2 linked regions of the Saccharomyces cerevisiae S288C genome follow. The protein of the gene in region 1 binds, or shares a complex with, the protein of each later gene. Each region holds a gene or a part of one and is shown in the gene's direction. Other genes may lie near its edges.

Evidence for each region.
Region 2: the proteins of TAF12 (region 1) and TRA1 are in contact, whole or in part, in a cryo-EM structure (PDB 6T9I), measured with the Saccharomyces cerevisiae proteins. Residues at the interface, in NP_010429.1 of Saccharomyces cerevisiae: Ala353 (codon at 2,919), Ile354 (codon at 2,922), Phe355 (codon at 2,925), Lys356 (codon at 2,928), Gln357 (codon at 2,931), Thr358 (codon at 2,934), Glu359 (codon at 2,937), Pro360 (codon at 2,940), Ala361 (codon at 2,943), Ile362 (codon at 2,946), Pro363 (codon at 2,949), Ile364 (codon at 2,952), Ser365 (codon at 2,955), Glu366 (codon at 2,958), Asn367 (codon at 2,961), Ile368 (codon at 2,964), Thr370 (codon at 2,970), Pro373 (codon at 2,979), Pro375 (codon at 2,985), Val376 (codon at 2,988), Tyr378 (codon at 2,994), Ser380 (codon at 3,000), Asn381 (codon at 3,003), Arg382 (codon at 3,006), Pro383 (codon at 3,009), Thr384 (codon at 3,012), Ile385 (codon at 3,015), Thr386 (codon at 3,018), Gly387 (codon at 3,021), Gly388 (codon at 3,024); in NP_011967.1 of Saccharomyces cerevisiae: Leu869 (codon at 4,810), Val871 (codon at 4,816), Ile905 (codon at 4,918), Asp906 (codon at 4,921), Asn907 (codon at 4,924), Leu908 (codon at 4,927), Thr909 (codon at 4,930), Ala910 (codon at 4,933), Tyr912 (codon at 4,939), Gln935 (codon at 5,008), His939 (codon at 5,020), Ala940 (codon at 5,023), His943 (codon at 5,032), Asn944 (codon at 5,035), Arg947 (codon at 5,044), Lys951 (codon at 5,056), Arg955 (codon at 5,068), Arg2581, Ile2584, Thr2585, Leu2587, Ser2588, Thr2593, Ile2596, Leu2622, Val2623, Tyr2625, Leu2626, Ser2629, Tyr2630.

The regions. Positions count from the first base shown.
Region 1 is NC_001136.10:744,876-748,857, forward strand, and holds TAF12 (Taf12p), read left to right. Parts: upstream 1-1,862; coding exon 1,863-3,482; downstream 3,483-3,982. Other genes in the region: MKC7 (aspartyl protease), read right to left, coding at 1-1,226; DNA-binding transcription factor SWI5, read right to left, coding at 3,738-3,982. UniProt on the Saccharomyces cerevisiae protein: Functions as a component of both the DNA-binding general transcription initiation factor complex TFIID and the transcription coactivator SAGA complex.
Region 2 is NC_001140.6:300,556-305,870, forward strand, and holds the start of TRA1 (histone acetyltransferase TRA1), read left to right. Parts: upstream 1-2,205; coding exon 2,206-5,315. Other genes in the region: SFB3 (Sfb3p), read right to left, coding at 1-1,379. UniProt on the Saccharomyces cerevisiae protein: Essential scaffold subunit of the transcription coactivator SAGA complex. SAGA acts as a general cofactor required for essentially all RNA polymerase II transcription.

The DNA.
Region 1 (3,982 bases):
AAATCAAAGATGATGCTACTCTCTTCTTCCATCTCTTTGATACAATCCATTATGTAGTAACCATATGCAGAAGAGTAAGTAGCTCCGACCTGGTCGGCAAGCATTTTTACCAGCTCAGTTGGCATATACGATATGGTCGTACCTGAATCTAGCAGGACTGGGATCTTTGTAGTGGTTAGGGTTGTCAGATTGTCTTCTTTATCCCCTTTCGACGTACCTAATCCTTGTAAAGTGACTTGGAATTGAATTGGATCCTTGTAGCCGCGATGCTGCAAAGTATTAATGATGGGAATTGTGTATAGGTCGCCCGCATATTTTCCATGATCCACAGCGCCAAACAAAATGGTACCATGTTTCGAATCAGAATCATTTGCGAATAAAGAATAAGCTGTTGATTTTATTACACCCGAATTCTTTAGCACCATCGGAAAGTTATTGTAAGTGTAGCTTTTTTGTACAGAGCTGAGAGAAACACCAGAATAAGTTGACTCCAAGCCAGGCAAACCAATACCCAAGACACCAACTGTTGAGTTTGTTTCGTTTGCTACAGCAAATGATAAACCCGTAATGTTCAAATCGTTCAAGCTCAATTGATCATGGCCCCAGGTACCAGATGCAAAAGTCGTATCACCATAGGCGATCGAAAATTCTGTATTATTGGAGTTGAATGTAGACGACTTAGAGGTATTAAATGTCCCGTATGTAGCGCAGTCAATTAACTGTGATGTAGAAGCTGTACTATCAAAAGTAGCAGTGGCTTCGCTGGTAACTATAGTGGTGTCGTAGCTAATTTCAGTAAACACACTCTCAACCACGCTAGCCAAAGCATCCTTGTTTACTTGTTTAAAGGATGAGCCAGTGGTATCCTTCTTTTTAGTGGAACAGTATGGGTTGTCTGAACCCGTGACCCATAGATCAGAAGAACCAGTGTCGACAAGCACAGTAACTTTTTGAGGAGGGGTGCCAATATCTAATTCCACCGAATAAAAACTGTTTTGATTAGTCAGTTCCACCAGCTCGTAATCATCATCTCTTGTCATCAAACGCGTTCTACCTTTTGTATCATCCAAAGCGTTTTCAAATGAACTGCCGTATTTCTTCTGAAAATTCATTTTGACATAGACTTCATTACTTGGTAAGGATGGAAAATCTGTAACACCGGCATCTACTATTGAGCTGCAGACAAGTAATGCATCTACGACAAATGTGAGGACAGATAATTTCATAGAGCTCTTTCTTTTTCGTTTATTTTTGACGTATTTGCTCAAGCGAATAACGACAAAAGCTTGTTCTCTCGTTGATACTTTTAGCCAATTACAATTTCTTAGCAAGAACGAGTGACGCCAACCAAATTTCTCCCAAAAGTGATTATCTGAATAATGAAAGATGGTAGGAAATAAGGTATTGAAACAGGTTCAAAACTTTAAAAGAAAACTGCCAAATAAACTTTCTCGATGCGTAGCTGAAATTTCAACTTCAAAAAAAAAAAAACGCGTGTAACTTTCTACGTGCAAAACGATGTGTATGAATCCCGTCTTAATTAGTAAATAGGGTCTAGTAAGCGTAGCGAGGATGAATTAAATGCATTGTTGAATATGAAGAGCACCTTATGGTATATAAATGTACAATCTTGATTCATGACAGCTTTGCAAGTAAACGTATCAAATGAATATCACGATTTTGGCTGTATTACCCGGGCAGTATACGCGGCGAATTTTGTTAAAAAATGTGTTAGACTTAAGTCGGAGCAAATGAATAATGGGCATATATAGCGCATAGGTTCGCTAGTGTAAGACAGGAGACTGTCCAATAGCATTCGAATCATAACCGAATCTTTGCCAGTGTGTGTATAAAATACGACAATGTCTTCCAATCCAGAAAATTCTGGTGTTAATGCGAATAATAATACGGGCACTGGTAACGCTGATGCGATCACAGGAGCTCAGCAAAATATGGTACTGCAACCGAGACAGTTGCAAGAAATGGCCGCTAAGTTCAGGACATTACTGACTGAAGCAAGAAATGTAGGTGAAACTACTCCTAGGGGCAAGGAATTGATGTTCCAAGCCGCAAAGATCAAACAGGTATATGATGCCCTTACACTGAATAGGAGAAGACAACAGGCTGCGCAAGCCTACAATAATACTTCAAATTCAAATTCAAGCAATCCAGCTTCTATTCCTACTGAAAATGTCCCTAATTCATCACAGCAACAACAACAACAACAACAACAGACAAGAAACAACAGTAACAAATTTAGCAATATGATAAAACAGGTTCTCACCCCGGAAGAGAACCAAGAATATGAAAAGCTATGGCAGAATTTCCAAGTCCGTCATACGAGTATAAAGGAGAAAGAGACCTACTTGAAACAAAATATTGATAGGTTAGAACAAGAAATAAATAAACAGACGGACGAAGGGCCCAAGCAGCAGCTACAAGAAAAGAAAATTGAACTGCTTAACGATTGGAAGGTGCTAAAAATTGAGTATACCAAGCTGTTCAATAATTATCAAAACAGTAAAAAAACATTCTATGTAGAGTGTGCAAGACACAATCCGGCTTTACATAAATTCTTGCAAGAAAGCACTCAACAGCAACGAGTGCAGCAACAAAGGGTACAACAACAACAACAACAACAGCAGCAGCAGCAGCAACAGCAGCAACAGCAACAGCAACAGCAACAGCAACGCCAGGGTCAAAACCAAAGAAAGATTTCTAGTTCTAATTCTACTGAAATACCCTCTGTAACCGGCCCTGATGCACTGAAATCGCAGCAGCAGCAGCAGAATACAATAACTGCCACCAATAATCCCAGGGGCAATGTTAACACTTCACAGACTGAACAATCGAAAGCTAAGGTAACCAATGTAAATGCAACGGCATCTATGTTGAATAATATAAGTTCGAGCAAATCGGCAATATTCAAACAAACAGAGCCTGCCATACCCATATCGGAAAATATATCTACCAAAACACCAGCACCGGTAGCTTATAGATCCAACAGACCTACAATAACTGGAGGTTCTGCTATGAATGCCAGTGCTTTGAATACACCAGCAACAACTAAATTACCACCCTATGAAATGGATACTCAGAGAGTTATGTCAAAGCGTAAATTAAGAGAGTTAGTGAAGACTGTCGGAATTGATGAGGGTGACGGTGAAACTGTCATTGACGGTGATGTTGAGGAATTACTATTGGATCTTGCCGACGATTTTGTTACTAATGTTACAGCTTTTTCTTGTAGATTGGCAAAACACAGAAAATCGGACAATTTGGAGGCAAGAGACATTCAGTTACATTTGGAGAGAAATTGGAATATTAGGATTCCTGGTTATTCCGCAGACGAAATAAGAAGTACAAGAAAATGGAATCCCTCTCAAAATTATAACCAGAAATTGCAGAGTATCACATCAGATAAGGTAGCAGCTGCAAAAAACAATGGAAACAATGTTGCAAGCTTGAATACAAAAAAATAATTATGTTACCCACATTCTCCACTCTTCCACAGAAAAAATTCCTAAAGTTATAGTTCACATTGTTATATATGTATCTATAAAGCGAAATTTTTTAAAATTAATTGATTAATTAATATTTTGTATCTAAAGTGTTCATACTATATTATTTACTTAGATTATACATAATTAAAAAAAAAAAAAACTTTTTTTCCTTGTTTTCATTTTGTTTTTATTATTAAATATTAAAAAAAGTGTCCATAACATCAATGTTTTTTTTTACCTTTGATTAGTTTTCATTGGCGAAACCATAATCCCCGTTCCATTCCCATCATAACTACGCTCTCTTCTGAGTTGATCTTCAAGCTTGAACATCAACTGTCCATTATGATCCTTGTTAATATTTTCTTTGATTGGACTACTAGAAACACTTGAAGTTCCATCTTTTCTTGGTCTTCCTCTTTTTCTTGGAGACCTTTTAATTACCACGTTTTCATACTTTTTACCACCGCTGCAAATCATTC
Region 2 (5,315 bases), on another chromosome or scaffold:
GCAATGTGTGCATTGTCCCTTTTTAGCGATAAATTCCCGTTGCCGATCGTTGGCAAGCTGTTCAAAGAACAAATAATCTTACCACCTTGCCCGCCAGTTACTGTGTCTAACGCTAATTTTGCGGCTTGTAAAGCAGAACCATAACAGACTTGGGGTACGTGACTATACTTGTCGGTGGAGATGTAACCACTAATTTTTATCAATGTGTCATTAATGATTTTCATCGAGTTTCCGGGTTTAACAAATAATCCATTATAAAATGGTAAGAAAACATCGTCCAATTCACTTACAATGTACTCTTGTGCATTATCTAAATCTGGTCTCAAATTAAAGAACCGCAACTTATTATCATAAACGATTATAGCAACCTCACAATTTGGCTGGAAATCTGAAATATACTCAATACATGACCTGACACCTTCCACCATGGCTAAAGAACTTCCGTTCTCATTAGCTAACAATGAAACATCAATCAAAAACACGTAGTGTAGTGGTAAAAGCTCCTTCTCCTGAATAGCATTGTAAATACTTGGCACCAAGAAATCGACTGTTCCGTGCAATAACTCTGATTTTTCGTTCAAATCACTTCGTTGCCCATTGGGACCCATGGGCGCAAAATGCTCACCTGGAACTTGCATCTTAACTCTACAAATATTACAAATAACACTTGAATCATAAGTGAACTGAAATTTAGGATTAGCATACGCACGACAACGTCTACAACGCAAAGGCGTACCATCCATTGGTAATGGAATTGTGGGAACTTCTGCATCATTCGGTGTCAAAGTGGAAAATGGTTGGATGGTTAATCCAAGTGGTAGCTTCGTGGCGGCTCTCAAGTGTTCACTTTCGGGGATGTTGTACATGGATAAACTCATCAAGTGCGGATCACATGAACCTTGGTCAACACAATAAAACTGGGTGGTCGGCAAGGGCGGAACAGAATCTCTACAAGTTTCGAAAGATCGTTGTAAATATTGAGCTTGATCTTCAAATCTTTGAGTTGGAACAATGTGAGATGTAGGTTGAGGCGCTGTCATATCAAGCATAGATTGACCATATGGCGAGGAGGCCTCACTCGCACCGAATCGCTCTTGACTCACCATTACAGGCGTGGACATAACGGAACCCGAACCGTTGTTGAAGCCACCAAATTGCTTAGGGGTAAAGGCTTGAGGTTGTTGAAAACCATCCTGCTGATTCAATTGGGGTGTAGTGTAGGGTGAATTGCCCAAAGTAGGAACAGTGCCCGAGGAAAAGTTATGATATGCTCTGTGAGGTCTTCTACTTTTTTTGGAAGATGCTCCGCCCGTATGCACAGTAGATTCATCAAGAGAGAGCGCTGAAACACTAGCTGCCAAAATATTCTGCTGAGACATGATGGTCCAATATTCTTCTGCAAATGGCCTCCTTAGTAACCCTCAAAATTACTAATTTCTTCAGTTGCAAGCTCCGATTTGGTTGAATCAGACCTAAGTTGTTACAGCGTACGTGTTTTTTTTATTTATTTATTTTCTAACATTTTTCTCTTTGGTTTTTCCAGTTTGATCGTTCCCACGTTGAGACGAAACGAAGGAAAAAAAAGAACATTTTTTTCGCATTGTGCACGGAAGGCTTCACCTTCAATAGGGCAAACAGAAGGACGAGCTGCATCACTTTTAGCCGCCACTAATCAACTCCTTCAGATAGATCGCCAGAACGCAAATAAGTGAAATTTGAAGATCAACTTGAATCAAAAAGCCAAAACTAAGAATTGTACGCTACTCTGCCAGACAATATTTTACGGACACGCGCATTTCAAGACAAAGCCATAATTCATGCCTTTTCAACTAGCATCTGGACGCCGCTGAGATCATAGGAACAAACAAAACGCACGAAAATAGCTAACGCACGTATCGAATACCAAATCAGTCTGCATTTATTGTACCCTCAAATTACAAATTCAACCAACAATTGTTCAAAAGACCACCTTGAATCTTGTGTTTCCTAATTTGGTAAGTGATCACGTGGTCAGACAGTTTTCCAGGTCAAACTGAAAAAAAAGCTCAAGAACCATTTTTCTTTAATAGCCTTTTTTAGTTGTATTCTAATAAACAACACCAACAAAATCGGAGGTATCACACGTAATTACATAAAGAAGATTAAATTCAGAGAAGATCTATCACACGATATCTCCATAGTTACAAAGAATACCGCATTTTGCCGATGTCACTCACTGAGCAGATCGAGCAATTCGCCAGTAGGTTTCGCGATGATGATGCCACTCTACAATCGAGATATTCCACTCTATCGGAATTGTACGACATAATGGAATTACTGAATTCTCCTGAGGATTACCATTTTTTCTTACAAGCTGTGATACCTTTACTTCTAAACCAGCTAAAGGAAGTTCCTATTTCATATGATGCGCATTCACCGGAACAAAAGTTGAGAAACTCTATGCTTGATATTTTCAACAGGTGTCTCATGAACCAAACCTTTCAACCCTACGCAATGGAAGTGCTCGAGTTTTTACTTTCAGTACTACCAAAGGAAAACGAAGAAAATGGGATATTATGTATGAAAGTGCTGACGACACTTTTCAAATCATTCAAATCAATACTACAGGACAAACTCGACTCCTTCATACGAATAATTATTCAGATTTATAAAAATACACCAAACCTTATAAACCAGACGTTTTATGAAGCCGGGAAAGCAGAACAGGGTGATTTGGATTCACCAAAAGAACCACAGGCAGATGAACTTCTCGATGAATTCTCCAAAAATGATGAAGAAAAGGACTTTCCATCGAAACAATCATCCACGGAGCCAAGGTTTGAAAACTCTACCTCATCAAACGGGTTGAGGTCATCTATGTTTTCCTTTAAAATCCTTTCTGAATGCCCTATTACAATGGTCACTTTATATTCGTCTTACAAGCAGTTGACTAGCACCTCGCTTCCGGAATTCACTCCTCTTATTATGAATCTATTGAATATACAAATTAAACAACAACAGGAAGCGAGAGAACAGGCGGAATCACGGGGAGAACATTTCACTTCTATATCGACGGAGATTATCAACAGACCGGCTTACTGTGATTTTATATTAGCCCAGATCAAGGCCACGTCTTTCTTGGCTTACGTATTCATTAGAGGATACGCTCCTGAATTTTTGCAGGATTATGTGAATTTTGTTCCTGATTTAATCATAAGGCTTTTACAAGACTGCCCTTCTGAACTATCATCTGCTAGGAAGGAACTTTTGCATGCCACTAGACACATTCTATCTACAAACTACAAAAAGCTCTTTTTACCCAAATTGGACTATCTGTTTGACGAACGTATACTTATTGGTAACGGTTTTACTATGCATGAAACATTAAGGCCCCTGGCTTATAGTACTGTGGCAGATTTCATTCATAATATAAGATCTGAATTACAACTAAGTGAAATTGAAAAAACAATAAAGATTTACACTGGATATCTATTGGATGAGTCATTAGCCTTAACTGTACAAATCATGAGTGCAAAATTGCTGCTTAATTTAGTTGAAAGAATATTAAAATTGGGAAAGGAGAACCCACAAGAGGCCCCTAGAGCAAAGAAATTGTTAATGATAATCATTGACTCATATATGAATAGATTTAAAACCTTAAACAGACAGTACGATACAATAATGAAGTACTATGGAAGATACGAAACGCATAAGAAGGAGAAAGCAGAAAAGCTCAAAAACTCTATACAGGATAATGACAAAGAGAGTGAGGAATTTATGAGGAAGGTACTGGAACCATCCGATGACGACCATTTGATGCCACAGCCTAAAAAAGAAGATATCAATGATAGTCCCGATGTTGAAATGACAGAATCTGACAAAGTGGTGAAGAATGACGTTGAAATGTTTGACATAAAAAACTACGCACCTATATTATTACTACCCACACCAACAAATGATCCCATCAAGGATGCTTTTTACTTATACAGAACTTTAATGTCTTTCTTAAAAACAATAATTCATGACTTAAAAGTCTTTAACCCACCTCCTAACGAATATACGGTTGCTAATCCTAAATTGTGGGCTTCTGTTTCTAGAGTTTTTTCATATGAGGAAGTCATTGTTTTCAAGGATTTATTTCACGAATGTATTATTGGTTTGAAATTTTTTAAAGATCATAATGAAAAATTATCTCCAGAAACAACAAAAAAACATTTTGATATATCAATGCCCAGCCTACCGGTCTCAGCCACCAAAGATGCTCGTGAGTTAATGGACTATTTGGCATTTATGTTTATGCAGATGGATAATGCCACTTTTAATGAAATAATTGAACAGGAACTGCCATTTGTCTATGAAAGAATGCTGGAGGATTCTGGGCTGCTACATGTCGCGCAATCCTTTTTAACAAGTGAAATAACCTCCCCAAATTTTGCTGGCATCCTTTTAAGATTCTTGAAAGGGAAATTGAAAGATTTAGGAAACGTTGATTTTAACACTTCTAATGTCCTAATACGACTTTTCAAATTGTCCTTTATGTCCGTCAATCTTTTCCCCAATATCAATGAGGTTGTTCTTCTTCCACACTTAAACGATCTAATTCTAAACTCCCTGAAATACTCAACTACAGCAGAAGAGCCTCTAGTATACTTTTATCTTATTAGAACTCTTTTTAGAAGTATAGGTGGGGGCAGATTTGAAAACTTATATAGATCGATTAAGCCCATACTACAGGTGCTATTACAATCTTTAAACCAAATGATACTTACTGCACGATTGCCCCACGAGAGAGAACTTTATGTGGAATTATGCATCACTGTACCAGTTCGGTTAAGTGTGCTTGCTCCTTATTTGCCATTTTTGATGAAACCATTGGTATTTGCATTACAGCAATATCCTGATCTCGTTTCGCAGGGTTTAAGGACCTTAGAATTATGTATTGATAATTTGACCGCCGAGTATTTTGATCCTATAATCGAACCGGTAATCGATGACGTTTCGAAGGCCTTGTTTAACCTTCTGCAACCTCAACCATTTAATCATGCTATCAGCCACAACGTAGTCAGAATACTGGGCAAATTAGGAGGTAGAAATCGTCAATTTTTAAAGCCACCAACGGACCTCACGGAAAAAACGGAACTAGACATTGATGCGATAGCAGATTTCAAAATCAATGGTATGCCGGAAGATGTACCGCTTTCTGTAACGCCAGGAATCCAGTCCGCTTTGAATATATTGCAAAGCTACAAAAGTGATATTCACTACAGGAAGAGTGCTTACAAGTATCTAACCTGTGTACTACTGTTAATGACAAAATCATCAGCAGAGTTTCCTAC